Linked DNA regions of Arabidopsis thaliana. The protein of the gene in region 4 interacts with the protein of the main gene of each other region in a pairwise test. Each region holds a gene or a part of one and is shown on either strand. Other genes may lie near its edges. The genes, in order: CB5-C, CB5-B, CB5-D and CER1.

Region 1 (7,406 bases), on a different chromosome or scaffold from region 4:
TTAGAACTAACATTTTGATACGTGATGTGTTTTTTTTTCTTTTCTTTATTTGTGCGTGTGTTGTGAACTTGTGAGTCTGAGAGGAGAGTGATGTGTTTTACTTTTTAGGTTGTAAATACAAGAAAAAGTAATTTATATATTTTTAGTTTCAATTTATATTTACACCACATTGTAATTTAGTTAAAATCTAAAATATCAGAAATATTTGATTGTTAGCCCACAAAATTGTACGTTTGATTTTTATAAAATAAATTATGAATTCTATCACAGATCAAGACTGCAACAGGATAAATTAAAAAAAAAAAAAAAAACGCAACAGGATATTAAACTATAAAATTTAGTTTCCAAGATTCTGGTGAACGATCTTTGCAAGTCTACTATCACTCCGGAAACGTTTTTTTTTATTATATATAATAACAATCACTTGTTTAATAAGTTGCATAGAAACACGAATGTTTGGTTTGTTTTACCAAACAATTAACATTACACGGTTTAAAAAAGAAAAAAAAACTTTACTTAAGAAAAATATTCTCATATTTTTAATCGTCTTCTAGTAATATAATATAGAAATACTAACATTACATTTCGAAATTTGATTAATAAATCCCCTCTCGAATTAGTAAATTAAAAACCAACATTCTTCATTTCTTTGTGTCCTTTTTTATGACACATTGAATTCTGTGTCTTTAAAGTGGCAAAAAATAACCGACAGTATAAAGGTTGAAATTATGTGGAACGTTTTTGCTAAAAATAATTCTGTGTCTGTGTCATATTTTTGACACACACTGACACACATTCCTTCTTTGTAAGTATGCCCTCACCCATTTTTATTATTAAGTACGAATTTAATGGAATCTACTGCATTTTTATTTTTATTTTTTTTCGTCAAATGGAATCTACTGCATAAGTTGGTTGTTTTATCAAAATCAAGTAAATAACACAAAGCTCATGCTAGAAGAAATTGGGATTGGCATATATCAACAAAGGGCCTACTGATACGGCCCATTAACATAAAATAAATAAGACATTATAGTCCAATTCTGAGCGATGGGCCAAATGGCCCAAATCTTCACATAAGAAGCCCGTTATTACCAACAAACGAAAACCAAGAACAGTAAGAAACTCTTATCAATCTGTTCATCATAATTTGGTCTACTTGTTGTTGTAGAATCTGAGAGCGAAAGCAACGCCGAGTATCAAGAGAGGAATTAAGTAGATAAGCAGCTTCTTTCCAGATTCTTCTTTAGTTGTTTCCGCCGCCGTAGATTCCTTCTCCCACGGCGGAATATACTGTTGCGTCACCGGAACCGTTGACTGGTCAACGTCACCGATACAGTATTTCTTCATTAGCTCCTTGGCATCTTTGCTATGGTTCACATCTTCGAAATCGATCGACGCGTCTTTCCCTTTAAATTTTCATAAAAACTCACAAAATTACAAACCGATAAATTCAAACTAAACCGGAATAAACCAACTCGTACTCGTACGTACCGGTGACGGCGAGGAGAACATTGTCACCTCCGGGATGTTCGTCCATGAAAGTGCTGATGTCATAGACCTGTGGATAAACATGTGTTTAGAAACAAGTATAAAGCTAAAAAAACAGAGCATTTATAATCTATAAATTTGTTTACGTGATTTAAAGAAAGTAGAAATATGGACCTTTCCATGGATGAGAATCCAACAATCGTTCTTGCACTTATGTTTAGCCACATCGTGAAACGAAATTAGATTCGCCATATGATTACTTTTGGTTGCTCGTGCTGAGAAAGTAACTTGAAACAGAGAACTTTATATAGAGACTTCAAATAAACTAGGGTTGAAGCAAAATAAAGAAAGCAAGATCGTGAGGGGAAGAGTTTCTAGTTTCTACGAACCGATGAAAAGACAGTGCGTAGCTTATGGAGACCACACGCGTTATGTTTATATTGTAAGCTGTTGAATATTATTATTACTAGATTTTGATGAAATTACAGTCTTATTTGGGGTAAATAGTTTAATCTTAGCTCTTTGAAGATGTAAGGGAACAAAGCAATGTATATCTGACCAGTTAATATACATAGTTGTTTTTGTTGAAGTTTAATACTATTCTTTTCGTATAAAATTGTTATTACGAACAAGGTTAAAAAAAGGTACCTACCATAGTAAAACGTGAAGAATATGGAGTTTGTAAGTTAATGGATTGGTAGCTGAGAATGCCTCCAAGTGGTCAGCGACCTCAGGTTGGTGAAGCTCTTTCACGTTTTAGTTTTCTCTTATAAGAAAAAGGAAAAAAGAAAACAAGTCAAAAAAAGAAAGAAAAGTCAAGCCTCAATTTTCTTTTGTTTACTTTAAACTTTTAAAAAGCCTCAAAATCACTTTTCTGATTAGGCCCTTTTTCAAAATCACTTTTCTGATTAGGCCCAATAACGCACAAAAGGGCTTTCTGTTTTGAGTAGGATAATTTAGTCCTTTATCAGTTTATGACTTTAGGTTTGAAATTTCTTCAAAACTGACCAAGCTATAGCAGACATGATGGAATACTATCACAGATTCACGACAATCCACGATTTTAGAACGATGCATTGATATACGTATAAATAAGAAAACATATGACATAGTAATAAAATACAATATGCATAACAGGAACAAATACTAACAACTTAGTAATGTTTGTAAGAAGAAAGCAATACATCTCAACAGTCATAACAATACCAACACATTCTGAAATAAGAACAAAAAAATCACATATATTATAGGGAGTAGAACAATAGATCCAGAGATTGCTCTTGTACGATGTCGTCGTTCTTAGACTTCTAGGCCACGCAATCTGTCCACAAAGCATATATATACGAGCAAATGAAAGAAATAAATCATATCGAACCCCTAAACCAAAATAATTAAGAAATACAAACCTTGAATTTTAAGAAGATAATGTGACTCGAGAGCTTCACAGTTCCGAGTTGGCTTGTATGGAACGTCCTTCTTTAAAGCCTTAGTTGCATCGACATCTGGATGGATCTTCTTCTTCAACATCCTCTTTATCATCTACAGTAATATATACACATATATAATGATGCTATACTTGTTGACATCGAATGAATATTTACTCACATATGAGTACACTTATGAAGCAACAAAAGTGATGTAATTGTAACATGCACGAATAATTATCTAGATCTTGACGTGACATTGTTTCCCTTGAGCTATAGAGGCACATGTAACATGTTCATATATCCATCATCATCAATGTTTCATAGTTACGGAATTGACTAAAACAAATTTAAATACCTGACGCATTTTCTTGATTGGACGTAAGTCGTTTTCTTCCTCTTTGGACTTTGACATGACCAGCTTCTTCTTAACAAACGAGAACCTCTTGCTTAGTTTTGAACCGTTTTGTTTATAGTACTTAACCTCCTCACCGTCAAGATTAGGGTTATTGGGTTTCTTGCAATGCCACGTGTCATAACCTTTGTCGTGGTCCTCCATGAAAAGCTCCGCAAGTGTTGTCCTCTTCTTCTGTGGCTCTATCTCGGCCTCGGCTGCCGCCGTGACAGCTGGCGTTTCAGCGGTTTTGATCGAGCCAAAGTGATCAGTATCGGCCTGTACGTACAGATTCTAATACGAAAGATCTCAAGAAATTCAATATCAAGAGTCAAGAAGATATAATTTTATGTACTTATTTTATGTACTTATTTCTTTGCGTATAATGGCCTTAATTGTCGACAGAAAAAAAAATGACGATCTCGATTGACTCAAATGCAATTTCTGCATTTATATGTCTTTAAAGTCATATTTTGAAAGAAAACCCAAATTTTTGTAGATTAGTGAACGTATAATCCTTCCATTTTAGTTAACTTATTTCTACAATAACAATTAAACTAGTTTAAAGATTTTAAAATTTTGGATTCATTTGAATATACTAATCAAATCAACGTAAACGCACACGAACAATTGAAGCATATGCATGTCATATGTCTATATAATCTTCTCTATTGGTAAATCAACCCGAGGATCATAAAAATGTACTCAATAGAACTGATTAGAATACGTACCCCGACATCTTCATGATGATCATAAAACTTATTTTCAACGGAGATAAGAGGATCCGACTCTTGGTCGACGTTCTTGATGATGCTGCCATCAATTACGACGTAGTCGAGATCCCCACTCCCGCATTCATCATCATCCATTTCATCTTCTTCTTTGAAGTTCAAGGTGTCAAAGCCAAATGTGCCGATGGTGAGAACTCCATCGAACCAATTATCAAGAGCATCCACTAAACCAACTTGATCCAATATAGCTTTCGTGTTCTTCTCAATCTCACTTATTCCTTCATTCCTCTTCTTCTTCTCGTTTTTCCTCACACCATCTATTTCTTTCACCATATGAAAATAAATATAGGTTGGACAAAATTTATGCTTTAGCGAAAACGTGGTATACGTTAATATAAAACTATTTATTAAACAGGGAACCACATGATCCTATATGATACTACTACAAAAAGTAAACTACTATTTTAGTGAAGCTTACGATATTCTAATAAACAAAGGGAAAATAAAGCAAATTTGTTATTTTTTTATAAAATAAAGCTGATATTGATTATCTATAAAAAAAAAAACTAACCTTTGATGACATTTTGGTGCAGCTTTTTCTGCACCCAGTTAAAGATCTTCGAAAAATCCCGGAAAACAATTATAGATTTATAATTACGAACTATATGAAAAAAGGATTAAAGCAAAATAATTAACAACAAAATTTACGTACCGTCATAGTTTTCTCTATTTCTTCTTAGCAGTTGAAAGAGTGAAGAAAGTTCTCAAGCAAAAAAGGATAGTGTGAAATGAGAAATCTATTAAGACATTAAATAAATCATATAGGAGAGTCCTTCAGCTTCTGACACGTGTTAATTACAAAGAGTGGGTTGGATCGGTCTGACTTTTGGGAGGCAAGGCCAATAAGTAGGTGCCACATGTCACTTGCTAATCTGGTCGTCACACTATTCGTTGTCCCACCCTTAATTATTAAGAAATTGCTTTTTGACCCGATTACTTATAAATTATCAAAGTTTGACAAGAAAATTTTAATACTAATTTTCAGTGCCTCCTTGATCTTTCCGTGGTTCATTTCTTGTAATCTTGTTGGTAGACTTCTGTTGCTTTCAGTGTTTGTATCATTTGATTAGACATCAAAGGAAAAATTCGCTGCATTAAAGCGAAAGTTTTGGTTTCAATCAATTTTTAAAAATGGACGTACAATTTTAATATCTTATTTGAAAATGTCATATTCACCAGCTTTGGATTCCCTCAAGAAGGGTCCAAATATAGTGGAAGCAATTCGGTCACTGTGGTCACTATAATATAAATGTCGCGGAATGTCATCGCGGATCATTCTTCACTATCAACAATAATGTATTCAAACCCTAGCGTCAAATTTTCAGAGTGATAATCATCAACGTTTTAGAACGTTGACGTAAAATTATCTTCAAAATTGTAAAAAGCTATGCCATTGCCATTTCTCTTGACAGAAACAAGCTATACTTAAATTATTGACAACATTATTAAGTTGTAAATTCCAAATCACATGGCCAATCCGTTACTAATGGATTAATTGTAAAATGTAATAATTTACGGATTTATAATCTGTGACCAACTTTACTCAAATTCTTCAGTTGCAACTTGCAAGGTCTCAGATACCTATTAAATCCTCAAAGATACAATATTAAAGATTAGGAGGACTATATGCATAATGCATATGCATATGCACATGCAAAGTACCCTCTAAAGCTTTTTGAAGAGCACACAAAACCACACACATACTGTTGGGATTTGGACACTTCACTCTCCTTTCTCTTTGTCAGTTGCTTCTTGTTCTCGAATTTTTGGGATTTGGACATTTTTTCTTGTTATCTTTTGCCTAATTATATGGCCAATTTATTCAATTGCATAAGTTTTCGAAAGTATTGTATTATGATTTTATAAGGTAGTGATGTTTTTATTTGCTCCTGGTGAATTTTAAATATTCACAAAAATCGACTCAAGAACTAATAAAGAATAAATCAGCTTATAAAAGACCCCTCTGGCTTTTCAACTCCTCCAATTTCTATTTTATGCATTCAAAATGCTCACTTTAGTTCCCCACTTCTTTTTCAGATACTGTTACAATCACTAAAACGATTTGTGTAGAATAGATTCTACATTACAAAAAAAATTAAAAATATAAAAGCATATACATTGGTTGGGATATTTTTGTATAAATAAATAATGTGATCTTATTAGAGGGTTTATTGAAGCATGAGCTTTTCTCATAACGGACACAGGAACCAATTAGACATTTGAGTTGATTTGAAAGTCATTTGATTAATAATATACAAGGTTTGGTTCTCTTTTCTTCACATAAACTTGTCGCTTGTGGCACAATAATCTTTTGGATTCAATTATCCAAATCGTTACCCCAATTGATAAAAGTAAATATATTACGGTAAATACAAATTGTTTATATAGGCCCATAGGTATGAATATGGGCTTATGTAGTATACATCGGGCCTTCACAATAATATGGGTTTCATGATTATTATTAAAGCAATAACTGATTTCTCATTAATTACGTCAGAGAGAACCAATGCGCGCGTTTACAAAAGTAATTAAAAAAAGAAGTTCGTTTTAAGTAAACGAATCAAAGCCTCCATATAAGTGAGAGGGTTCCAAAAGCTTTAGAGAAGAATCAGAAACCATTAACCCCACTCATATTTTCTTTATTTTTTTTCATTTATTTTAATTAAATCGAATTTATTGCAATTTTAAATCCAAAACCTTTTTTTTTATTTTAGTTTAGTTTTTTTTCTTCTTTCATCAGTTGGTGTATCCGCCATTATTACCGTAATCACTGACATGAAAACCATTGTCGGAGCCAGGTTTCCGGGAGATTTTAAGATGAACGCCGGGATCATGATGAGATGCCGTCGAGTTGTAGACAATGGAGTTGTTTATCATCTGAACGTTACTATTCATAAAAGCTTTCATTGGGAGGTTACTATTGCCTTTGTTAGGGACGTTCTTCGTCGTTTTCTTCTTACCTTCTCCTTCGTCGCTGCTGCTACTGCTGCTGCTTTGAAGTCTCCGTCCTTTCTCTCCGGTGCCGTGTGAAACCCTAGAGGAATGTGTTCCTGAACCACCGGTTTTGTTGCCTTGAGGAGATCGTAGGATCTCCATTACTGCACCTTTGTTTTCACCTGCAATGGTGATGACTCGTGTGCTCATTATGTTCTCAGAATCGGACGAAGATGGTTGACGATGCATCTTCTTGGGGTTGTTGCCTTGATGGTTTTGGTTTTGGTTATAGCTATGGTTTTGGTTATAGTTATGGTTCTGGTTATAGTCATGGTTATGATTCTGGTTATGATGATTTGTTTCGTGGGTTTGGCT
Region 2 (8,750 bases), on a different chromosome or scaffold from region 4:
TCTCTAACACTCAAGAGAAAGGCCTGGTGCTCGTTCTCTACAAGATCAAATGCAATTTGCAATGCCAATAAAGCATCATCCTTGTTCTCTGAGCGAAGAAGCTTCTCCAATATGCTTGCAACACCTTGCGGTTCATCCAAAAACATGAGGCATTGACAAATGCTCAAATAATCAGGAGAGGGCAGCTTCTGGTAGACTTTTACAAGTAAACTAAGCACCTGAAAGAGTAGACAAGTATGTCATCACCTTTTTTAAATAAAGACTAAACTAAACAGCCTAGACTAAAAGACCTAGAAAAGGGAGATTTTTTTAATTCAGGCCTTGACACATCTCAGATAGGTATCACGAAAACTGAAACAGGACTTTTGGCTACAGCTTAGGACATAGAGGATGCTAGCATACATGTTTGCAGGCATGGTAATGGAAGATGCAACATAGAAACTAAATGGTCACATTATCTTCCAGATGAGGCAAAACTATACAGTTCTAATCAGTCGATAGAATTAGAACACCTTTCTACTTAACTATTGTCTAAGAACATCAGTCTCACCTCATGTCTGTACTCTCTGCGGTTGACAAAGGAATGAGAAACATTGATGCAATATGATAAAGTTCCCTGAACATTATCGCTCTTAATGATAGCTTCTTCCAACTTATCCAATCTCCGGCATTCTATCGCAATGCCCATGGCTTGTTGATACTTCCCATCACTGATGCATCTGCAGAAGGAAAACCATGTAAGAAGAATTGAAGCACTATGAAAACAAGAGCATTAAATGTATAAGCATTGCATACTTTCCAAGCATTCTTTCAACAATCGCCTCTAGCCTGGGATCAATGTCCACCATCTCATTTGACTCAACTGCCTTTGATCTGAGACTGGCATATTCGTCTATTGCTTTGGCTGAAATTTTAAAAGAAGCATCTGATGAGTATACATTCATCCAGCATTTATTAAAACTCAAATAGTCAACTTATCTGTCTTTTTCTAGTATTATACTACTTAAAGGCAGAACAATATCTGGATGTACAAGCTTCAAGTCTACTTTTAAGATAATAAGTCGTGCAGGCTATATAGGCTTTTCTTGCCTTGAGAGTTGAGACAAGTTGATTTGGTAAGCAATTTGCATTAAACAGTTACCCTAGCTAGAGTCTACAGACAGAGAACAGCATGAAGAGAGTAAAAACATCAACAAACTTCTCAATCCTCACCCAGAAGCGTATGAACATAATCAGAATCCTCTGAAACATCAAATAAGGGACCGGCTCCTAGGGCATAAGACAGCGAATCATTAAGCTCGCCCAAGTAATAGAAAACCTGCGATAAAACAACCACGATCATCAAGAAACCCATATCTTGTAAAACAAACATATAACGTGATTAGAAAAAGGCTACGTCCCAAAATTCTACCACTATCCACCAGCTCTTAAGGAGAAAAATAACCATAATGTATTCAGAGCAACAATTAAACATTCCTCCACTAACATATAGCAAATATTATCCGCAACTAGACAAAACTTAAGTTTAACAATCGTGAAATCGCACCTTAGAGACCAGCAAAGCAGCAAGCTGTCTTTGATGCAGATCGAATTCTTCATCTTCATATAAACTCTCACTGTAAAAAAAAAAATTCTCTCGAGTCAAGCTGTCAAGTAGTGCAAATCATTAAAGAGAGATTATCATAAAACCCTAAGCATTGCGCCAGCACAGCCTCTACAACTGGAATCTATACCACTAGAATGTACGATGATAAACCAAAACGAATCCAAGCCTTTACATTACATGAGTAAAAGAACATAATCATGTCCAGGAAGAAGTTAGATACAATTACTCATTCATAATCTATAAAGATCACTACAGAACTTGCTAAAGCTAGTCATGTAAAATAAAAAACTTTACTTTTCTTATCCTACCCATTGAATCTGCATCGCCACAAACTATCAATCCCTCACTCAAAATTTTGAACTTTAATACCCAAATCGAGAAGACCTACACACAACCACAGCTCAAACAATCCAAATCCCACAATCTTCTCTAGAATATCCCGAATAAAAAAACAGATCAAGTGAGAGAACAAAACCCTAAATCTCAAACCGGAAAAAAAGGGTTTAAAAGAGAATTACATGATGGGGACACTAGTGGAGATCTCAGGCCAGAATTGGTCAACCAAATTGTTGAGGTTAGAGAGCGCATGAAGCTTCAAAACAGGATGAGGCTCGTTGAGCATTGCTAGTAATCCTCCAGCGGAACTAACCATGGGTGTCGCCATTGATGGAGAACACTAAATCGAAATCGAAATAAACCCTAAGAGAAAGCTAATCAGATGACGAAAGATTCGAACTTTCGATGAGACTCGTCTTGAATCTCTCTACTGGATTTGAAGAAGAGTGTTTTCCTTATTTATTTTAGTTTATAGGACGAAAGTAAAAATAAAAGGAGATTTGGGAGAAGATAGTAAGTCAGGGACTTGGATGCAAACTACGAATATTTAGAGACTTACCCAACAAGTCAGGATATTAAAAACTGCCCCGAATGTATAGCTTTATTATGATTTTAGTCTCAAGTTTTGTGTTATTGAGTTATGGATCCAATATATTTTGAAGATTTACAAAAACTCCTTATTGCTTTTACAAAATTGGTTGGTCATACAATTTTAAGTTTTAGGAGCTTTTAGGATACCCTAATTGCTAAATTATCATCATATCATATCAATAAAATGTGTTGCAATTCAGAACATAATACAAAGCTTTATAGAGATATGCAAGGCATCATAGAGAAATTAATAAACTTACAGTCGGTTAATCAAATTTTATAAACAAAATTATCATAAATCGATTCAGCTCATTACACGAAATGGTAAGCGTAAACTATGATGATGGTGTGGTCGACCATTAGCTCGATTATGTAACAAAGTCATCTAGTTATTTAGCTTATAAATCATTTCAAGATGTAATTCAAAAACATATGCATTCAATTTTTTTTTTAGTTATCTGTTTATCGTATCAGAAGTTCAATGAAAATAGTGTATGAACAAACAAACACGATTTTAGTTATTTATATTTATTGTTCATTTTAAAATTATATATATATTAGTTTTTTTTAATGTGTAAATTGTATTTAATATTTTCAAAGCAACAATTTTTAGTATTGAAAAAGATTTGGTGGTCCTAAAAGTATAACTTTTTCTTTTAATAACATTATTTGGTACTAAAAAACATAAAGAAAATGATGGTTCTAATCTTTTGGTTAACCTGCTTGTTTTTCTCTAGAGAACATGGCTAATGTATTTTTTTCATTGTCGATGGTTCAAATTTGAAACTTCTCAGACCTCTTTTCGTTTACAAGGTCAGAAATTCACCGGTCAATCTATTGATTTTGAATAATATGTACATTTTATATAAGCTTTAGAAAGAAAAAGATTTGTGTCCCTAATAAATAAGGTCAGTTGGTATGAAGCAGCGGCAATTTATTTTTCTTATGTAGTTGTATCTACTAATATAAAACTACATAAATATTACTTATGAGAAAAGAATTCATATGTACCATAATAAAATTTATTGCACATCATTCACCTACCGATCTTGAATGAAAAAGGCAGAATTAGAGCGCACAACCGCAACATTTGCACTGCCTACCTACCTACCCCATCCACTCAACCGGAAATAACAACTACTACCAAACCACTTAACCCATCGGTTCAACATTGGCACATATGTTTTCAAAATCGTACAGATGAATACCATAAGGCCAAAACAGTAGAGCAGCAATTAGGTACAGACTATGTGAGAACAAACTCAAAATCAATTTTCATTAAACCGGTTTTCAAAGCTTCCAAAACTCACCAACCGATTACTTTGAGAACGAACCAAATTAAACCGGAATTTAACTGATTCGTCAAATGGTCTTTAACTCAACAACTCTCTCTCACACTCTTGTATAAAGTTTTGAGCTTTAAGTCTCAGAGTCAGGTTTTGGTGGGTTAATTCTGGTAGACAAGAATCAAACAAACAATGGGAGACGAAGCAAAGATCTTCACTCTTTCAGAAGTTTCAGAGCATAATCAAGCTCATGACTGTTGGATTGTCATCAATGGAAAGGTTTCATTCTTCTTTCTCCTTATTCTCACCTCTGAAATTAGAGATCTCGTGCTTCAAAGTTTCCCCTTTTGGTGTTTGCATGAGATTAAGCTTTTGAAGTCTCAGATTTCTAAGTCTAAAATTATCAGATCAAATCTTTAGATGGGTAGAGAGAGTAGAAAATGGTGTAGTTATTAAGCTTATGCTGAAGATTTAGCTCTTTTGATCTATTTATCAGCTGAAAATTTTCTAATTTTGATTGAAGATGGAGAAATGTAGAAATAGTTCTTATTGTCTTTAGAGTTTGTTTGATCGACATCAACCTTTCTTGGGATGGACTACTGACACTTGTCGATTAGTTGTTTGCCCTGAAGATCGATCGTTTTTGTATTGTGATTATTAACTTGTGAAGGAATCTGTAGATACATCCTTGAGCCTCCCTTCATAGTGAACTTGATTTTTGTTTTCTTCATTGATTGGTTTGTGAAATCAGTAGATTATCACAAGAAAGTAGGAAACATTAAATGTTTTGGTCTGTTGTTCCATCAGTAGTTTATGTTTCTTATTAATATTGTCACTTAAGTTCATTTTTTTTGGGAGTTTACCTCTGTGCAACAAGTTTGCTATGTACACAGAACAATCCTTTTTATCAAGTTCAGAAGATCCCAAATGTATCTCTGGACTTGGTTGTTGGTACAGTAATTTGTTTCAAGTATTCATCTTTCTATTCCTATTGTTTGATTTTTAGAGTTATATGCACCATATCTTGTTTAGTCCAAAGAAAGCGATAACCTAAGAACTTTTCTTTTTGTTGCTCCATTGTTTCTTACATTTTAATCATAAGCCTCAGAAGTGGATCTTCCCATGTTTTAAACTTCTTGATTTGACAAGAAATCTTCAAAGTTCAGAAGTTCTGTAATTGGGTTTCATTTGCCTCTCCTAACTTCACACATTTGCAAAAAAATGCAGGTGTACAATGTGACCAAGTTTCTTGAAGACCATCCAGGTGGGGACGATGTTCTCTTGTCTTCAACAGGTCTGTATAAACACAACTATCACCATGCTCCCGGCTTAGTGGAGATCAATCCATCGGTTTTTGATTCTTATTCTCTTTTCAGGTAAGGATGCAACGGATGATTTTGAGGACGTGGGTCACAGCGAGAGTGCAAGAGAAATGATGGAGCAGTACTACGTAGGAGAGATTGATCCAACAACAATACCAAAGAAAGTCAAATACACACCTCCTAAACAGCCTCACTACAATCAAGACAAGACCTCTGAATTCATAATCAAGCTCCTCCAGTTCCTCGTACCCCTTGCCATTCTTGGTTTAGCAGTCGGAATCCGTATCTACACCAAATCAGGGTAGGCTTCTTTTTTTTCTGAGCATTACTTCCTTATATCTTATATATAGAGAGAAAGATTCAAGTCTTTTGAAAAGACAAATCTGAAAGTCTCTCCCTTTGTTATTGTCTCTTCCCATATTTTGCTGTTTGAATGTATTTTGGATAATTTCTTATCTATTGTGGTGTAACTGCATATAAACAACAGTCTTGTTGGTGTTTTTGCCTTATGCAACTAATGAACATCTCATCTATATTTCAGATTCTGAAACCGAAGTTATGACTAATAAGTGATCTGTTTTGAAAGTCTGGTTTAGTATTGTTTGAGATCTGTAGAAGAAAAGTAACCAAGGAACTATCAAAACAAGGCCATGATCTTACTAATTGAATGCTTAAGAGAACACTTAATTAACTTTGAGAAAAGGAGAAACAAAAACAACAGATTACGAATTCCAAAGAGAAAGAGACGTTTGTTTTGGCAGTTACTTGATAGAGTGTGTGGCAGTTAGTGACTTGAGCTCACAAAAACATATCCACACGAAGAATCCAAAAACTCTTCTGCAACTGTAGGACCCTCTTTTTGTACCTCTTTACCGCTTTGGCCGCAAGAAGTCGCAACCGCAGACACAAAGTTCGATACTTGTAACTTCGAGAGCAATAAATTTCATTTAAGTAAAGATTGGAATGGATTCTGTGGCAAGTTGACAACTATGGACTGTTTCATTCAAAACGTTGTCGTGTGTAGACTCAAATCAATACAATCAGAAAACGAATCTTATGACAAGCAAAGACGCGACGAAGTTTCGATGATTGATCAAAAGACGATCACCATAATGATGATGATGATGATGATATGTAGTGAGTGGGTACGAATTACATATTTAAGATAATATAGTGGGCACAAATCTCACAGAGTGGAAAGTACAATGGACTCACACAAGAGCAAGAGAAAGAGAAAGAGAATCTTTTTCTAACACTTTTGATTTTAGTGAGAAGACAGAGACAAAACAAAGACCACTATGAGACACTATCCATATCCATAACGAACAGCTTCTCTGTCTCTCTATTATCAGTATACAATTGTGTATATATAGACATGTATTACCTACCTGTCATTGTGATGTTATATGTCTGAAGAACACAACACATGGACCATAATGATGATGATGATAAGAACAAGAACTTAAGATGAAGAGAACAAAAAAGAGAAGGATAAGTCTTTATTGAAAAGAGTTTGAGATCAGTACATGTATACACATAAAAGGATAGATTTTTTAAAATGGTTACAGGACAAAGAGTTTTAAGAGAATGCAGAGTCCCCCTGTACCGGAATTCATAAAAGAAAACACTGACCCTTAAACCGAAAGAACTCTAAACCCTAAACGCTAAACCCTAAACAGACTTTGGGTTACTTCTAAAAACCTTCTCTTATGGCTTTAGTACTACTACTAAGGTGATCTGTATAGGCTTAAAAAGGATTGGTATCAAGTTCTGTTACACAAACCCTTTTCAGCCACTTATGTTACAGACACCAATTTAAAAACACTACATGGGTTTTTTCTCCTAAGCTCTTTACATGTTGAAAAAGTTAAGAAAACGGATGATGGTAATAAGATCAAACCGATAATTAGCAGGAAAATGTTAATATATTCTGTATTAACTATTAACCCCCCATTTTTTTGTTGTTTCTAATCATCTACCTTCGTCCATTCAAACCGTCCTGGTAGTGGTTGTTCGTTCACAGGATCAAAGTTGTACCTGAAGAAAGAGTTGACAGAAACCATTAGAGACACAAGACCAAAAGAGAAGAACAGAACAAACTGGAAACTCATAACCAAAAGAACAGAACAGATGAAACGAGGAAACACATACTTCTCAATGAATTGCTTCTGTTGTTCTTCTTCAGCACCCGAGAAAAACTCGTCCATTTCAGGTGTAGTTGGTCGGCGACGATGGCTGCGTGACAAACTGTCTTCTCTCTGGTTGCTTTCACTTACACAAATGTTAAGCTTTGTAGACGATCCCGGGGTTGTCATGATTTCAGGCCTTCTTATCAAACTGCATGGTGTGGATTCCCTTGTGGTCCTGTTGAAGCTGAGAGTAAGTAATATGTTACTTTCATACAATGCTCTCAAGGAAAAAGCACATAACCGTGTTTCCTTAATTAGCAGCAAAAGCAAGCAAACTTTATTGCATATAGATAACTAAAACTAAGCAAGTCATGTTTAACTGAAAAAAGGACAAGGAGAAACTCCTTGTTGATTTGTGGTTCAAAGTTCACAAAGCATAAAACCAAAGAAGAAACTTCCAATGAAGATTACTTCAGCAATGCTTGAAAAGTTAATGACTCATACAATGTTCAACAAGATCACGACTTTAGACTGAAATCATAACATCAAAAAACAACCAAACAGCAAGAAAAATTAAAAGACAGAGAAACTAGAACTTAAGATGTTACAGAGACACATCATATACTTTGCAGAATCCCAAAAACGAACCAAACTTTAAAGAGTTACTTACAGAGACATTTCAAACACAAATCCAACATTCTTTACATGAAAGCAGATAAAAAGTCTGAAGAAAAAACAATAGTCACTATCACCTTCTTCAAAGTAATTGAAGAAAAAATAAAAACTTTCTCAAGAAAAAAGAAACACATTTTTGATTAATTATATATATTTTCTTTCCCGGAAACAGAGAGAAGAGTCTGGTGTTGTCAGATAAAGAAAAGATGGCATCATATCATACACATGGTAAAAATATCATTAAATTTCAAAATCGAAAACGCCAGTTTCAATTTTAACCAAATACAAGACAAAAAATTGATCCTTTTTTCAAATTAACAACGGAAATTTTCAAATCCAATACCAAAGTTTTCTCAAGAAACAGAACAAATTCACACAGATTCATAAAAATAAGAAATCCCCCAAAAAATTAGGTTGAAATTGATGAAGAAAGATGATACCTTTGAGTGTGTTCTTCTTCAAGGTCGAAGAAATTTTGGCCAAAGGTTGGATCTTTATTGATTTCAGAAATCAAATCCTTGTCTTTACCAAAGACAACACTTTCAGAAACAGAATCAGACCTAGACCCATCACCACGAATCGAATCCAAATTACTCCTAGGGTTAGGGTTTCTTCCGCATGTCTCATTCCTCCGTTGCTGTTTCCTCCGTTTAGTAGAACGAATCACAACAATTGGTGGTTTCTTCTGAAGCCGACGACTCCGTAGCTGAAGATACGAACCACAATCGTTCATCTGCTGCTGCTTCTTCTTCATCTTCTGCTTTGACGGTGGATTAGGAGAAGCAGAAGTCGGTGGTAACGAAGA
Region 3 (7,162 bases), on a different chromosome or scaffold from region 4:
AGAATCTTTTGTTATCCCAAAGAAAAAGGTGCCTAAATTCACGTTTGACAATGTTGCTTGAAAAAGGTTTGATCTTGAAATTTCAAAAGAGGGAAAAAAGTAAAGGAGAAAAATTTGGAGAGACAAGAAGTGAGTCAAGGGACCCAACAACAAAGACAAAGACAAAAACTTTGGATTTTGCCAAATACTATGATTAATGCTCATTCAACACTACTATTACCATTTCCATCATCATCATCTCTCTCTCTCTCTCTGGTTTTGGAAAACTGCCTGAGAAAAAACCTAGCCATAACCATCTTCTTCTTCTTTCTCTTGTTCTTGAACATAATTCTGCTTCATGGACAAGCATCATCATCAACATCTTTTATTACAGCATCATCAACATCTTCACCATCATCAGAAGCTCTCTCTTGCCAAATCATCCAGACAAAGCTGTAGTGAATGGTATGTTCTCTTTCATGAGTAATGTTACCAGTTGAAACACTTTAAGTTTCTCTGATCAAGAAACTGGTGTCTGCACATGGCTCTGTCTCAATCTTGCTAATGATGTTCTTTCTTGCAACTTTTTAGGATCTTTCGAGATGTTCCAAGTGATATAACCATAGAAGTAAACGGTGGAAACTTTGCTCTGCATAAGGTATATGCATACTTAGAACACAACCATCACTGCTTTCTCAAGTAAACCATTACTGAACATGCTTTGCTTCTCCATTTCTCAGTTCCCTTTAGTCTCTAGAAGTGGAAGAATCCGAAGAATAGTTGCAGAACATAGAGATTCAGATATCTCCAAAGTGGAGCTTCTTAATCTCCCAGGAGGAGCAGAGACATTCGAACTAGCAGCAAAATTCTGCTATGGGATTAACTTCGAGATCACTTCTTCGAACGTTGCACAGCTCTTTTGTGTCTCTGATTACCTCGAGATGACGGAAGAGTACTCCAAAGATAACTTGGCTTCAAGAACAGAGGAGTATCTTGAGAGCATCGTATGCAAGAATCTTGAGATGTGTGTTCAAGTCTTGAAACAATCCGAGATTCTTCTCCCTCTTGCAGATGAACTGAATATCATAGGTAGATGTATCGATGCCATTGCCTCGAAGGCTTGCGCTGAGCAGATCGCTTCAAGCTTTTCGAGGTTGGAGTATAGTAGCTCAGGGAGGCTTCATATGAGCAGACAAGTGAAAAGCAGTGGTGATGGAGGAGATTGGTGGATCGAAGATCTTTCGGTTCTGAGGATTGATTTGTATCAGAGAGTTATGAATGCAATGAAGTGTCGTGGTGTACGTCCAGAAAGTATAGGAGCTTCTTTGGTTAGTTACGCTGAGAGAGAGCTAACAAAGAGATCTGAACATGAACAAACCATTGTTGAGACAATTGTTACGCTTTTGCCAGTCGAAAACCTCGTGGTTCCGATCAGTTTCCTATTCGGGTTACTGAGAAGAGCAGTGATTCTTGATACTTCAGTTTCCTGCAGGCTTGATCTTGAGAGGAGGTTAGGTTCTCAGCTCGATATGGCGACTCTTGACGATCTCTTGATCCCGTCTTTTCGTCATGCAGGAGACACTTTGTTCGACATTGACACGGTTCACAGAATCTTAGTGAATTTCTCACAGCAAGGAGGAGATGATAGTGAGGATGAAGAGTCTGTGTTTGAATGCGATAGTCCACATTCGCCTTCACAAACCGCCATGTTTAAAGTTGCAAAGCTTGTAGACAGTTATCTTGCTGAGATAGCTCCCGATGCTAACCTTGACCTTTCTAAGTTCTTGCTTATCGCAGAAGCCTTACCGCCTCATGCTCGCACCCTTCACGATGGTTTATACCGCGCCATTGATCTCTATCTTAAGGTATGTTGCTACAAGAAAATTTTACTTACTCTTGTTGTGACTTGATACTTATTAGGTTTTATGCTCTTAGGCACATCAAGGGTTATCAGATTCAGACAAGAAGAAACTATCAAAACTTATTGACTTCCAGAAACTCTCACAAGAAGCTGGAGCACACGCTGCACAAAACGAGCGGCTTCCTCTGCAATCCATAGTTCAAGTTCTCTACTTTGAGCAACTCAAGCTTCGAAGCTCCTTGTGCTCTTCTTACTCAGACGAAGAGCCAAAGCCAAAGCAGCAACAACAGCAGTCATGGAGAATCAATAGCGGAGCTCTCAGTGCAACAATGTCCCCCAAAGACAACTATGCGTCTCTGAGGAGAGAAAACCGAGAACTGAAGCTCGAGTTAGCTAGGTTGAGAATGAGACTCAACGACCTAGAGAAAGAACATATATGTATGAAGAGAGATATGCAGAGGTCTCATTCGCGCAAATTCATGAGCAGTTTCTCAAAGAAAATGGGGAAACTTAGCTTCTTTGGGCATAGCTCTTCAAGAGGATCAAGCTCTCCATCAAAGCAGTCTTTCAGAACAGATTCAAAGGTACTGATGGAGAGAACTTGCGCAAGCACAGATTAGCTCAGTGTTTATCATTTTCTCTTACCTGTTGCTGCTTTTTAAGTGAGACTTGAGACTGGTGTGTGAGTGATATTGTAAATGGATTTGATTGATATAAGACAACAAAGGTAGATGGCTTAAAAATCAAAGGTCTATCAGTTGATTGGAATAGAGAATATAATGATGTCTTACAAGACAAACAGAGGTAGAGACAGAGTTTAACCACGTCGTACACAAGCAATTCACTTAGGCCACAATTCAATCTTTCAAGAAGAAGGAGCCTTGGTCTTAGTGTAGTACCGAATGCCGAAAGCCAAGCCTAAGATTAGAAGTGGAACAAGGAACTGAAGGAGCTTAATAACAAAATCCGAGCTCTTATCCTGAGTAGCCACGGCTTTCGTCGACGTAGGAGGCACAAACTTAGCTTTAACCGGCACAGTAGCTGTGTCAATATCACCCACATAGTACTCATCTAGCATGGCTTTCGCAGTCGAACTATGTCCCACATCCTCGAAATCATCGGTCGCATCTTTCCCTGAATACCAACAACACATTCTTGTTAACATAAACATGAACTAACAAACAGAGAAAGTGATCTCTATATGTTACCTGTAGAAGTCAAGATAACCTCATCACCACCAGGATGATCATCCAAGAACTTTGTCACATCATAAACCTATATATAACCATCAAAATGAAACACACAAAAAATGTAAACTTTGTCATATAAGTCCCTAATTCCACACAATCAGAGACCTAGATTAAGTGGGTTATCAAAAGTTCATACATCAGAACATACATGAACTACATGAACCTTACTAGCTTTAACTACAGATACAAGATCACACAGAGACATCTTAAGCAGCACCAACTATCACATTCAATTATAAAGACGTAAGTTTTTAGCAATTTCTCTGTGATTTAGACTTAGAAAAGTAACATTAATCTAGCAAATCAGATCAGATCTATCCCCAAACTTGTTACTACATAACTCTAGATTTATAAATCCAAGTCAACACAACTCAAGAATTTCGGATCTCACGAAGATAAGATGCAAAATCTAAGGGAAAACGGAAAATCGAATGAGAAACTGGGATCGGAGATGTAGGACCTTGCCGTCGATGACGATCCAACAATCCTTGGCGCTACTGTGCTGAGAAACCTCGGACAAGGTGAAAACTTTTCCGTCTCCGCCCATCTCCGATGATCTGCTGGTGACTGGTGAGAGTTGAGAAGAGGAAGAGTATTACTATTATTTGGGAATCTGTGAGTTTGGGATCTTACACCAACCGCTTTTTTGGTCTACTTAAGTTGTGTATGTCTGATCTCATCTATTGATGGGGTCGGAAATTAATCAGTGGCCAATAATCAGCAGTTAATCAAAGATTCCGTTTTCTTATATTATTTAAATGAATTTATTTTATATATTTAATTAATGTAGAAACTAAAACAATTTATAATGTTACAAAGAAAAAATGTTATAAAAAATCTTAGTATTGTATGTTTTTCCTTAAAATAAAATAAATGTTTTTAGTAATTCATGTTAGCTGATAATGTTTCTACTAAAATCATGTTAGCTTATTGATTTCCATGATGCTTATAATGTTTATACTAAAATCATGTTAGCTTTATGTACATCAATTTAGATAAAATCCAAACGTTTGGTGGTTTCGCCCTCTTAGACGTATGATCAATCGTGTAGACGGCTAGATGTTAGGGTAGACCATTCTAATTGGGCCCAACCATTCACTCGGTCCACAAGATCCGGATCTTTTCTTCAGTTGTCGATAGTATTTAGTTTTTTCATGAACTATAGCAATATGGACACGATGATTCATGGGAGGAAAGATATGGGGTTGTCTTCTTTAAAACTTGATGGCGCTTAAGATAAAAACAGTCAAAGAGACTTGTCGGAAGGCCAGTGTAACGAAAGCAGTGTGGTTTTAGTTATAGGCTAAATTGAATATGAATAATTGATCATAGGCCCAGTTTGTTGGTTTATGATTTTAGAAAGAATTGATAAGAGAAGGAGAATGTTTTGAGGTTGGAACTCTCCGACAGATAAATATGATGGGAAGAATTATTCACGGTCGTATATTTTGACAAGGGACCAACGGAAAGGAGAGCAGTTGCATGCATCACTCGTCTTTACACTATTTAGAAAGAAAATGAATCTTGTTTAGTGATTCATTTTAAAAAGTTTTTCTATGTGAACCTCATTCGCTAGAAGTAGTTTAAATGTATTTGCCTTAATCCGATCTTAGAACTGGATATTTGATATTTCTGTAATCAGTTCGAATGTATCTAACTATAGGGCTAAAACACCGACTGTATAGTTCTTTCGACATATATAGAGTGTGTACTTTGCTTAATGGAACCATAGGCATGTTAAACGAGAGCATTTAATGTTGAAATTCACTTCTTTTTTCAATGCATGTTTTGACTCACATTGCAAGGCCTATGGTTGGTGTTCAACGAGAGAAAGAAACTATACATGACAAGTTAAAGACATTTATTTTGAAGGACTAACCCAAAAGGAGAACGAAAGAGAGCTAGAGAAGAAGAAACAAAAAGACAAAAAGGCTTTCGTAATCAGTGCTCTTCCTTTTTGGCTTTTTACTACCAAATAGTTTAAAAGAGTCAAACAAAACATCGAACAAGCTGAATTCAGATACCCCATTGGTCACACAGTTGATGTAAGCGAATCTATATGTCCCAAAAAACATGATTTTTATAGTCAGTGAGCCCGTGATCAAACAAGCACCCGTGTACATACGTACACCATGTCCATATGTATAAATGTATAATATAATGAATGTATCTGAACGTTTCATGCATTCACTTTTTCACTTTTAGAGATTAAAGAAAAACATAGAACAATGATTGGGTTCGAGATAAGATTTCACAGTTTCATCACACTGGTTTTGCCAATTTCCAAGAAATGTAAAAAAAAAGATAAAACAACAGAGATCTTCTCAATGAACACTGTCTCATCTTTTTGTCAGTTTCTTGTTAATAATAATTTGATATTCAAGATTCAAAACACTCTTATCTCTTTACTAATTAGTACAAAATTCACCTTTGTGTTTGTACTTTTAACTCTGAACTTACATTACAGTATTTCAATGTAAACGTCAAAGTATTTACACACACATTCACGTGCGTCATAATTATGGTAAGAGAAGAAAAGGGACCAATCTTGTATAGTTGAAAGAAAAAGGATATGATTCAGATTTTTACACCTACCAAAATTCACACGTGAACCTCTCAATTGGGTCTCTTTCTTCTGCATCTGAATCATTTTTTTCACTATATGCCAAGCTTAAACATGTTCACACACATCCCTCTCAATCATCATCATTACATATAGCTTTGAATAAACATGAGAGATAGATAGAAAAACAAACACTTGAAAGAAACAGATGAGAAAATTTCACTAAGCATCTGAAGAAGATTAGTAGTACAAATGGTGTGAGGTTTTAAGGTCCCTAAGCTACTCTCAAACTTGTTCTCTAACCACATTATTACTTAAGATTACACGATTTCTGATGTTTGGTTAGTCTGTTAACTCCATCACATTCTCTAACTTCACACCATGTCTTTTGGAGCTGTTTCCTTTTGAACTTCATGGTTTGACTTGCACCCATTCGTAACGTCCGCTGAGGGGGATATCATTCACAATGTCGAAGTTGTACCTGAAGATTATTGAAAACACATGAGTGTTGTTCACCCTCTTCGTAATGACACAAAAATAAAATAAAGAATAAGCTTACTTCTCCATGAATAGCCTCTGTTGCTGCTGCTCTGCATATGCAAAGAACTCCTCCATTTCACTAGTGGTCGGGATCACGTTATCTTGTTCCCTTGTGTACTCTTTGGTTGCTCTGCACATCGACCTCGTGCTAGACCCTGGTGTAACCATGATCTCCATATCCTCAACAAAGTTACAAGGCGTGCTCTCCCTTGTGCTGCAGAAAAAAACACAGATAAAATAACTTCAATAACATTATCACCACAAAGACACTTAACCAAATCAAGAATCAAACCAAAACCAAACATCCAGAATAAAAAAGAGGCTTGGTTTAAGTAAACAACAAAAGCTAGAGACTTTCTAAGTAATATGGTCCCATAAGATAATAAATAACAAAGAGAAGGCAATCACCACATTGTCAACTAGCAGCAGGACGGTTACCCCAAAAAACAGAGGATCCTACAAAAGTATTCCCCAAGTATGCAAAAACCACTAGGTCCCATGAACATGACACCACAGTACTTGCATTACACTTATGAGGAAAGTCCCAATTCTCATATAATCTTACATATTAAAAGTTTCTGACCTTTATACAACAACCCACTTTTGTAAAAACGAAAACCATGTGTTTAAGTAAACCCCCAATAACCAAATCCCAATATTGTATACCCAATGTACAAATACTTCTTATGCCATTAGCCTAATAACAAGGAGAATCAACATGTTCTTAAACAAATTAAAATACACAAAAACAGATCAGAGTTTCACCAAATTTGTAACAAATAATGAAATACATATATAAAACGAAAATAGCTTTGACACATTCATTGATAATCTCTGCAATGAAGTACACATGGGACATACAGCAATAAATCAGATATAATGTAAATCTAACACCAAAAGAGACTTATACGGAGAAGTAGTAATAACAAAATTCAGTACATCACAAGAGAGTCAATTCATAAACAAAAA
Region 4 (9,643 bases):
TAAGGGAACGAACAAGATCGTGGACAAGCCCATTGAGTTTGAGCAAGTGGACCGAGAGCGCACTTGGGACGACCAAGTCATCTTCAACACTCTCCTCATGTATCTCGCAAACATCAAGCTCCCAGGCGCCTCCCACCTTCCCCCATGGAGGCTAGACGGGGCCATCCTCATGGCTCTACTTCACGCTGGTCCCGTCGAGTTTCTCTACTACTGGTTTCACAGAGCTCTCCACCACCATTTCCTCTACTCTCGCTACCATTCTCACCACCACTCCTCCATTGTCACCGAGCCCATCACGTGTACGTACCTTTATCCACCATTTGCTTCTATTCTATATACATTCATTCATATCTTTAATCAAACTTGGCAGCTGTGGTGCACCCCTTCGCCGAGCACATCGCCTACACACTACTCTTTGCCATACCTATGGTAACGGCGTCCCTGTGTGGGATCCTCTCCATCGTTTCCATCATGGGATACATTACTTACATTGACTTCATGAACAACATGGGACATTGCAACTTCGAGCTTTTCCCTAAGCGTCTCTTCCACCTCTTCCCTCCCCTCAAGTTCCTCTGTTACACCCCCTCGTACGTCGTTTGTAAAAACACTACTATTTATTTGGATTTGAATATATGCATGCATTTATAACATGGCATCAAATATGTTGAAGGTTTCACTCGCTCCACCACACGCAGTTCCGGACCAACTACTCTCTGTTCATGCCAATATACGACTTCATCTACGGGACGACTGATAATTTGACCGACTCACTATACGAGAGGTCGTTGGAGATAGAGGAAGAATCACCCGACGTCATCCACCTCACTCACCTCACCACACACAACTCCATCTACCAAATGCGCCTTGGTTTCCCGTCCCTCTCCTCTTGCCCCTTGTGGTCTCGACCCCCATGGTACCTCACATGCTTCATGTGGCCCTTCACTCTCCTCTGCTCATTTGCCCTCACTTCAGCTATCCCTTTGCGCACCTTTGTCTTTGAGCGAAACCGTCTCCGTGACCTCACCGTTCACTCTCACCTCCTTCCCAAGTTTTCCTTTCACGTAAGCATTTTACACGCATGCATATGCACTTTCCCTCTCTCTCGCTCTCTTGACACAAACGGGTTTACTTATTATGTTGTACTTCACACCACTATTTTCCAAACTTTCACACACAAAAAAAACATTGATTCTCACTTAACTTGTACGTACTACGTAGGAAGGACATAACCTTTTATACAAAAAGAAAATTAAAACAACCTAAAAATGAACAATGAACATTTTCTTGTGGGTATACCTTTTGTAAGTTGCATCTAAAGTTTATTAATAATTTTGCCTCATAAACATGCGGCGGTAGTATAAATCACAGCGCCACCATGAGTCCATCAACACTATCATAGAGGAAGCTATCCTTGAAGCAGATGAAAAGGGTGTGAAAGTAATGAGTCTTGGCCTGATGAACAATGTAAGTTTATTTACTTCAAATCCCCCTAAATATATATGAATCACTATTGGATAAGTACTGTAACTAATTACACACGCTGGCAAAAGAAAAAAGTAACTAATCAACACACAATTAATTAATGAGAGGGAGGAACTAAACGGGTCTGGAGAAATGTACGTGCAAAAGTATCCGAAGTTGAAGATAAGACTAGTGGACGGGAGCAGCATGGCAGCTACGGTGGTTATCAACAATATTCCAAAGGAAGCCACGGAAATTGTCTTTAGAGGAAATCTCACAAAGGTGGCTTCGGCTGTTGTCTTTGCTCTGTGCCAAAAGGGCGTCAAGGTTTGTGAATATATGAGGGAATTGGAATATATATACTCAGCTTCTCATATCAAACAAAAAATAATGTAGTAATGTGTATATATAGGTGGTCGTGTTACGCGAGGAGGAACACAGCAAACTCATCAAATCTGGGGTTGACAAGAATCTGGTACTGTCTACAAGCAATAGTTATTACTCCCCAAAGGTGTGGTTGGTGGGGGATGGAATAGAGAACGAAGAGCAGATGAAAGCAAAAGAAGGAACCCTCTTTGTTCCCTTTTCTCACTTTCCGCCCAACAAACTCCGCAAGGACTGTTTCTACCAGTCCACTCCAGCTATGCGTGTTCCCAAGTCTGCCCAAAACATCGACTCCTGTGAGGTACATCTTTGAATTCTTATAGATATATCTGTAACTTTTATATTATATAAGCTGATAGATGTGTTCATCTATAATGAATGAATGGTTGTTATATATATATAGAACTGGCTGGGGAGGAGGGTGATGAGTGCATGGAAAATAGGAGGTATAGTGCATGCACTTGAGGGTTGGGAGGAGCATGACTGCGGCAACACTTGCAACGTCCTCCGTCTCCACGCCATATGGGAAGCTGCTCTTCGCCATGATTTCCAACCTCTCCCACCATCTCCTCTATGAGCTTTTTTCATATTCATACATCTATGTCCCCTTTCTTGATTATATCTACTTCCCTTCCATCATTGTTTGCTGTTTACTATGTTTTTCTATCGACAATATATAAGTACCCTTGTTACCCTTGGTGCCACGTGCTTCATATATGTTAGAAAGGGCAAAAAAATTCGTCGTATGATATGCTTAGTTAAATTTTATAAAACTCAATAAAAATCTTCAGAAACAGTGCTATGATCATTACATCTTAACTAAGTGATATATATCTGCGTGCCTATTTAACAAAATAAACAAAAAAACAAAACAAAATATATTTGGGTGCATCATCAAATCAAAGTAGTTGCAAAAACTGGACGAGGTTTTTACTTAAATGGTCCTTACCCCGCATGGTCCACTTGCTACCTAATTAAGGATTGGTAGGGTGCGTATACGTATATAAATTGTGGCGGTGGGAGATGGAGTTACTAAAAACGAAACGTACAAGTATTATTCATAGCTCTCGTATAAGGGGTTAGTCCTTAGATCTAGATATTTTCACTTTTCTTTCATTTATGTCGGAGCAACAGACACTAGCTGGCGCTTCAACGTGCATGATCTTGATTGGCTAGTAAATTCCAAGCATCAATACCTAACACATGCCCAACTTGGTTCATTAGTATTCTTTCATTGGTAAAATACCCTTACCTTTCAATAATATCCAGAAATAAATATATGAAGCCATCCATCAACCGGTGCATTTCCTCAAGGCATGGATATGATATCAGAACATCGATGAAGGTGGGAGGGGGTAATTAGCTGAGTGTCATAAATGAGGATCCATGTGGAGATCATCGAATGGTAGTAGTACATGTTTGGTCTTAGCTGGCCCCACCACAAGGAATTGGACTGGTGGGAAGATAGGGGTGGTTACGTCATTCCACATATCTACCAATTAAGGAGTTTAATATAAACCTTGCTATATAATGTACCTTGGCTCACAAGAGTTGAAGAGACACAGTGACGACACAAACATATTACATTCGACGGTATAATGGCCACAAAACCAGGAGTCCTCACCGATTGGCCTTGGACACCCCTCGGAAGTTTCAAGGTGCACTCTGTTTTCTTGTCCTTTAAATTTAAAAAAACGCGTGCTTATGATCGAATCCCGTTACGTTACTGATATATATGTTTTTCTTGACATTGAAACAATACAAAAGTACATCGTAATAGCACCATGGGCTGTCCATAGCACATACAGGTTTGTGACAGATGATCCAGAGAAGAGGGATCTCGGGTACTTCCTTGTGTTCCCATTCTTGCTCTTCAGAATTCTGCACAACCAGGTTTGGATCTCTCTGTCCCGTTACTATACGTCCTCGGGAAAGAGACGCATCGTCGACAAGGGAATCGACTTCAATCAGGTCGACAGGGAGACCAACTGGTGCGCTTTTCTAAATTTTTAACTACCTGCGTGCCTCGTGAGTATATGTAATCAACGTAACTAATGAAATCCTGATATATGCGCAGGGATGACCAAATATTGTTCAACGGAGTGCTGTTCTATATAGGCATCAACCTATTGCCGGAGGCCAAACAACTTCCCTGGTGGAGAACTGACGGAGTGTTGATGGCAGCGCTTATTCACACCGGACCGGTGGAGTTCCTCTATTATTGGCTCCACAAAGCTCTCCACCATCACTTTCTTTATTCCCGCTACCATTCCCACCACCACTCCTCTATCGTCACTGAGCCCATCACTTGTAACTATTGTTTCTTACCTTGATTTTTACGCTGCCTATATTTCCGTTTTTCTTTTTATAATTATTATACGTAAAATATACATCGTTCACGTCCTAACTAGTAGCTTTTATCTGTATATAATGGGATTTGATCAAATGTATGCAGCGGTGATACATCCGTTTGCGGAGCACATAGCATACTTCATCCTCTTCGCGATACCACTACTTACCACGTTGCTAACAAAAACGGCGTCAATAATTTCGTTCGCCGGATACATAATCTACATAGACTTCATGAACAACATGGGACACTGCAACTTCGAGCTAATCCCTAAGCGCCTTTTCCACCTCTTTCCTCCCCTCAAGTTCCTCTGTTACACCCCCTCGTAAGTCCTTAATTAACAACTCCTCTTCTGTTTCATACACTACCAATTTGGCGTAGTAAAAGCATTTACAAGAAACCATTCTTGATGATCTGATACAAATACCTAGTTAGATCATATTAATTAATCCTCTTATGGTCATCATAAAATCTAAGCAAATGATAAATCATACTAATACAGGGGATATATGCTATTATAATAGAATTCCATACACGTACTCCATTCCTGTATAAAATAAAGGTGACGTGATACAGTTGTATGCTTAATATGATCGTCAACTACTGAATCCCTGGACCACAACAGAAAAAAAAACAATTATTTAATATATCTTACATGGTTCAACTTATCGGCACATAATCCAATTTCCCACAACTTTACGCATTGATAGCATCTTTAACCAAACATCCTTTGAGAACTATTTTAAATATCAAATTCATTAGTCGATATGTAGCAGGTGGTCCCTCTAAACGCTCAAGTTATATTAAACCTTCTGGATTCATATTTACTTTTAAATATTTGTGACTTTTTTTCCTTCGGTATTAATTTAGCGCAATGTGAAAGCAAAATTTAATAGTTAAAATACATTAAAGTTTGGATAATAAATGGAGCATGAGAATTGCAGATACCACTCGCTGCACCACACGCAGTTCCGGACCAACTACTCCCTCTTCATGCCCTTGTATGACTACATCTACGGCACAATGGATGAAAGCACGGATACGTTGTACGAGAAAACTCTAGAAAGAGGAGATGATATAGTGGACGTGGTGCACTTAACTCACCTGACGACGCCAGAATCCATATACCATTTGCGCATTGGCTTGGCCTCATTTGCCTCCTACCCCTTCGCTTATAGATGGTTCATGCGCCTTTTGTGGCCTTTCACCTCTCTCTCCATGATATTCACGCTCTTCTACGCCCGCCTCTTTGTCGCTGAGAGAAACTCCTTCAACAAGCTCAACTTGCAGTCTTGGGTGATACCTAGATATAATCTACAGGTCCTCATCATCATCATCATCATCATCATATATATAGGCTGGTTAACTTGCTGATGCATATATATTAATGGTGATATATATATGATGCATGCAGTACTTGTTAAAATGGAGGAAAGAAGCGATCAATAACATGATTGAGAAAGCGATACTGGAGGCAGATAAGAAAGGAGTGAAGGTGCTTAGTCTGGGTCTCATGAACCAAGTAAAGAAACTATCTCTGACTGTTTTGGTTTTATATTGGGTAGATGCCGTACGTACTACGTAGTGTATGTTAAAGCTTTAATTTGATGAACTGAAACAGGGGGAGGAGCTTAACAGGAACGGAGAGGTGTATATCCACAACCATCCAGATATGAAAGTGAGACTGGTCGACGGCAGTAGATTAGCAGCAGCTGTTGTGATCAACAGTGTACCCAAAGCAACTACAAGCGTCGTGATGACAGGCAATCTCACTAAGGTTGCCTACACCATCGCCTCTGCTCTCTGCCAGAGAGGCGTTCAGGTCCTTTGTTTTCCTTTTGCTCCTATGTTGTGATATCAAATTGATGATCTCTAGGAGAAAAATAAAATCCAAGCTTTATCTACATGTATTTATGCTCATGACTCGTAACATTTTCATGTGAATGTCATCCGCAGGTCTCCACTCTGCGCCTAGACGAGTATGAGAAAATAAGATCATGCGTTCCACAAGAATGCAGAGACCATTTGGTCTATTTAACCTCTGAAGCACTCTCATCAAACAAGGTAATTCAGTATACAAAAGAAGCACAATTAATCAAAGAATCAGAAGGAAAATATTCAAAGAGCTTATATAAAGAAAACTAATGAAGGGATTTTGGGTGAAGGTATGGCTGGTGGGAGAAGGAACAACAAGAGAAGAGCAGGAAAAAGCCACAAAAGGGACATTGTTTATACCATTCTCACAGTTCCCCCTCAAGCAGTTACGTAGAGATTGTATCTATCATACCACACCAGCATTGATAGTTCCAAAATCTCTGGTGAATGTCCACTCCTGTGAGGTAAGCATTCAAAGCTACCCAATCCAACTAATTTATTAGAAGAGGTCCTTATTATAAAAAAAACATCTGCAGAACTGGTTACCGAGAAAGGCGATGAGTGCAACTAGAGTGGCCGGCATATTGCACGCCTTAGAAGGATGGGAAATGCATGAGTGTGGCACATCCCTTCTTCTCTCGGATTTGGACCAAGTATGGGAAGCCTGTCTCAGCCACGGCTTCCAGCCTCTCCTCCTTCCACATCATTAAAACTCCAACCTTGGAAGATTTTAGGAGAATGAGAGCGACACGCTCTGTGCTTCTTTTCCTTATGATCCAGCTCTTCCACGCACAAATGAACTATGAAACATATATAAAGCGCACACATATATTTATGCATATCAAGCTTTTGGTGATTATGGTATTGATAGAGTCAAATTAAGCTCGGTGACTATGGTATTAATAAGAGTACTATTTCCTTTTCTCTTTGTGAACTAAGAAACATATATATATAAAGCAAACATGTTCCAGAATATCTAAGTTTTTCTTCTCCCACTCCTAGACTTTATAGTTCTACAAAATTTAAGTAGCATAGAACATAGCATTTGGATCGCTTGATGCTATTACTAGGACAATTCAAATGGTCTCTCATCACTTATAGGAGAAACACCTATCTTATTCAAATCATTTGGTGGTCAATAACCGTTTTGAATACATTGATTGGTGTTAGTTAGTAGTTAGTTCTCATACACAGTGGCTAGAGCCGGGCAAAACGGATACCACCACCGTTTTTTAAATTATTTATTGGTTTTCTTAAATAAACTAACAAATAATTAAATTAGTGATAATGTACTATTTAAAAAATAATTATGTAAATAAAAATATGAAGTTACGAATAAATTCATGAAATTTAAAAATTTAACACTTATCAAAAACAAAACCTAATAGAAATATAAAAATATAATTTTAAAAACAATAAAAACAAGTGTTAAAATTAAAAAAATGTGTAAACCGTATTGAACCTAAGACACCTTTTTGGGGTTTGGATGTTATGTCCAATTAAGTTACACAAAATTTAAAAAATTAACATTTATCAAAAACGAAACTTTATAATTTTTAATAGTAATATAAAAATAGAATTTTAAAAACATTTTTTAATAAATAAAAACAAGTGTTAAAAATTTAAATTATGAGTATTGAACCTAGGACAACTCTTTGTGAAATCGTTAATGACCACGGTTAAATGGCAGGATCAAAAATCCGATTAGATTTCACAACGTCATATTCATTTAGTATTTATAAAACCTTCTAAAAAAAAATTAAGAAAAGAGTTGAAAAACTTTTAAGAAAAAATAAAATAAAAATAAATGCTAAATATACATAAAGATGTGAAAAACATGTTGGACTTGTGAAATCGCTAATGGCCACGGTTAAATGGCGGGATCCAAAATCCGGTGAGATTTCACAACGTCATATTAATTTAGTGTTTGTAAATACTTTTTAAAAAATAAAAAATAAAGAGTTGAAAACCTTTTAAGAAAATAAAATAAAAATTAAATTATAAATATACATGAAGATGAGAAAATATTTTGGATTTGTGGAATCGCTAATGACCACGGTTAAATGGCGGGATCCAAAATCCGGTTAGATTTCACAACATCATATTAATTTAACATTTATAAAACCTTTTAAAATAAAATAAAATAAAAAAGTTGGAAACCTTTTAAGAAAATAAATGCTACATATACATGAAGATATGAAAAACATGTTGGACTTGTGGAATCGCTAATGACCACAGTTAAATGGCGGGATCCAAAATCCGGTTAGATTTCACAACGTCATATTAATTTAGTATTTATAAAACCTTTTAAAAATAAAAAATAAAAAGATAACAAAAATCGAAAGAGTTGAATACCTTTTAAGAAAATAAAATAAAAAATAAATGCTAAATATATATGAAAATGTGAAAAAACATGTTGGATTTGTGGAATCGCTAATGACCACGGCTGAATGGCGGGATCCAAAATCCGATTAGATTTCACAACGTCATATTAATTTAATATTTATAAAACCTTTTTTAAAAAAAAAAAATTGAAAGAGTTGAAAACCTTTTAAGAAAAAAAATAAAAAAAATAAATGCTAAATATATATGAAGATGTGAAAAACATGTTGGATTTATGGAATCGCTAATGACCACGGTTCAATGGCGGGATCCAAAATCCGGTTAGATTTCACAACGTCATATTAATTTAGTATTTGTAAAACCTTTTGAAAATAAAATAAAAAAAAAAAGACAAAAAAAATAAAGAATTAAAAACCTTTTAAGAAAATAAAATAAAAAATAAATGCTAAATATACATGAAGATGTGAAAAACATGTTGGATTTGTGGAATTGCTAATGACCATGGTTAAATGGCGGGATCCAAAATCCGATTAGATTTTATAACGTCATATTAATTTAGTATTTATAAAAACCTTAAAAATTATTTATTTAAATGTTTTAGTGAAAGTTTTAAACTAATTAGTTTTAGTTTTGGTTAAAACAATTTTTTAAAGAAAGGAAGAAAAAAAAGTAGAATGAAGAAAGTAAATACCTTATTGGATTTGGTTGTAAAGAAGGCCTCATACAGCAAAGCCCATTCCAAAATCCTAGTGTAGCTCTGTCGTGACATCATCCACCACTTTTAGGTCAATTTTGTAAGTAAATTACTCATACAAATAAATTAAAAAAGGAAATTGATCACATCAATATTAAAAAGTGACCGTTACAAATAAATTAAAAAAGGAACTACATAGAAACAGTATCCCGATAATTGCTTTCATCATAACAGATTCTCACACCTTTGCAATTGTGGCTTTAAGAGATTCCAAATTGTTGATTTGAGTTTGAAATATAATTTTAAAATATCAATAAAGAAGTAAAGAAAGTATTATACCTGATTGGACCTCGTTTGGGCCGTCACAGGAAAAGCCCATTACCAAATTCTTCGTCACTGCTCTGTTCTGTAGTTGATGACATCGATGAAACTCAAACTATCGCACTCGTCGTCATTACCAAGTCCACTGAACATGATCTGTTCCATCGCCAAGTTATTCTTCGCTGCCACTGAACTGGTCGTCGTCTTCACTA

The links.
Region 1: the proteins of CER1 (region 4) and CB5-C interact in a two-hybrid assay, tested with the Arabidopsis thaliana proteins (one study listed by BioGRID).
Region 2: the proteins of CER1 (region 4) and CB5-B interact in a two-hybrid assay, tested with the Arabidopsis thaliana proteins (one study listed by BioGRID).
Region 3: the proteins of CER1 (region 4) and CB5-D interact in a two-hybrid assay, tested with the Arabidopsis thaliana proteins (one study listed by BioGRID).

What each region holds. Positions count from the first base shown.
Region 1 is NC_003071.7:19,146,141-19,153,546, reverse strand, and holds CB5-C (cytochrome B5), read right to left. Parts: upstream 2,067-7,406; 5' UTR 1,741-2,066; coding exon 1,663-1,740; intron 1,559-1,662; coding exon 1,492-1,558; intron 1,407-1,491; coding exon 1,153-1,406; 3' UTR 808-1,152; downstream 1-807. Other genes in the region: AT2G46640 (NAD-dependent protein deacetylase HST1-like protein), read right to left, coding at 2,866-3,027, 3,271-3,600, 4,038-4,360, 4,609-4,654, 4,750-4,755; AT2G46630 (serine/arginine repetitive matrix protein), read right to left, coding at 6,834-7,406. UniProt on the Arabidopsis thaliana protein: Membrane bound hemoprotein which function as an electron carrier for several membrane bound oxygenases, including fatty acid desaturases.
Region 2 is NC_003071.7:13,873,709-13,882,458, reverse strand, and holds CB5-B (cytochrome B5), read left to right. Parts: upstream 1-3,748; 5' UTR 3,749-4,011; coding exon 4,012-4,098; intron 4,099-4,100; exon of another isoform or gene 4,101-4,702; coding exon of another isoform or gene 4,703-4,789; intron 4,790-5,046; coding exon 5,047-5,113; intron 5,114-5,195; coding exon 5,196-5,446; 3' UTR 5,447-6,647; downstream 6,648-8,750. Other genes in the region: AT2G32730 (26S proteasome regulatory complex, non-ATPase subcomplex, Rpn2/Psmd1 subunit), read right to left, coding at 1-218, 551-719, 796-904, 1,213-1,318, 1,547-1,616, 2,125-2,270; AT2G32710 (Cyclin-dependent kinase inhibitor family protein), read right to left, coding at 7,109-7,178, 7,293-7,514, 8,386-8,750. UniProt on the Arabidopsis thaliana protein: Membrane bound hemoprotein which function as an electron carrier for several membrane bound oxygenases, including fatty acid desaturases.
Region 3 is NC_003076.8:19,786,544-19,793,705, forward strand, and holds CB5-D (cytochrome B5), read right to left. Parts: upstream 3,830-7,162; 5' UTR 3,638-3,829; coding exon 3,551-3,637; exon of another isoform or gene 3,116-3,550; coding exon 3,049-3,115; intron 2,975-3,048; coding exon 2,706-2,974; 3' UTR 2,524-2,705; downstream 1-2,523. Other genes in the region: AT5G48800 (Phototropic-responsive NPH3 family protein), read left to right, coding at 338-444, 571-637, 720-1,844, 1,915-2,460; ICK6 (inhibitor/interactor with cyclin-dependent kinase), read right to left, coding at 6,065-6,134, 6,213-6,407. UniProt on the Arabidopsis thaliana protein: Membrane bound hemoprotein which function as an electron carrier for several membrane bound oxygenases, including fatty acid desaturases.
Region 4 is NC_003070.9:415,372-425,014, forward strand, and holds CER1 (Fatty acid hydroxylase superfamily), read left to right. Parts: upstream 1-3,376; 5' UTR 3,377-3,446; coding exon 3,447-3,506; exon of another isoform or gene 3,507-3,552; coding exon of another isoform or gene 3,553-3,615; coding exon 3,616-3,839; intron 3,840-3,925; coding exon 3,926-4,158; exon of another isoform or gene 4,159-4,278; coding exon of another isoform or gene 4,279-4,303; coding exon 4,304-4,523; exon of another isoform or gene 4,524-5,122; coding exon of another isoform or gene 5,123-5,142; coding exon 5,143-5,518; intron 5,519-5,612; coding exon 5,613-5,720; intron 5,721-5,819; coding exon 5,820-6,020; intron 6,021-6,154; coding exon 6,155-6,262; intron 6,263-6,348; coding exon 6,349-6,537; intron 6,538-6,609; coding exon 6,610-6,783; 3' UTR 6,784-6,887; downstream 6,888-9,643. Other genes in the region: AT1G02190 (Fatty acid hydroxylase superfamily), read left to right, coding at 1-299, 371-590, 674-1,064, 1,360-1,467, 1,591-1,791, 1,877-2,149, 2,252-2,425. UniProt on the Arabidopsis thaliana protein: Aldehyde decarbonylase involved in the conversion of aldehydes to alkanes. Core component of a very-long-chain alkane synthesis complex. Involved in epicuticular wax biosynthesis and pollen fertility.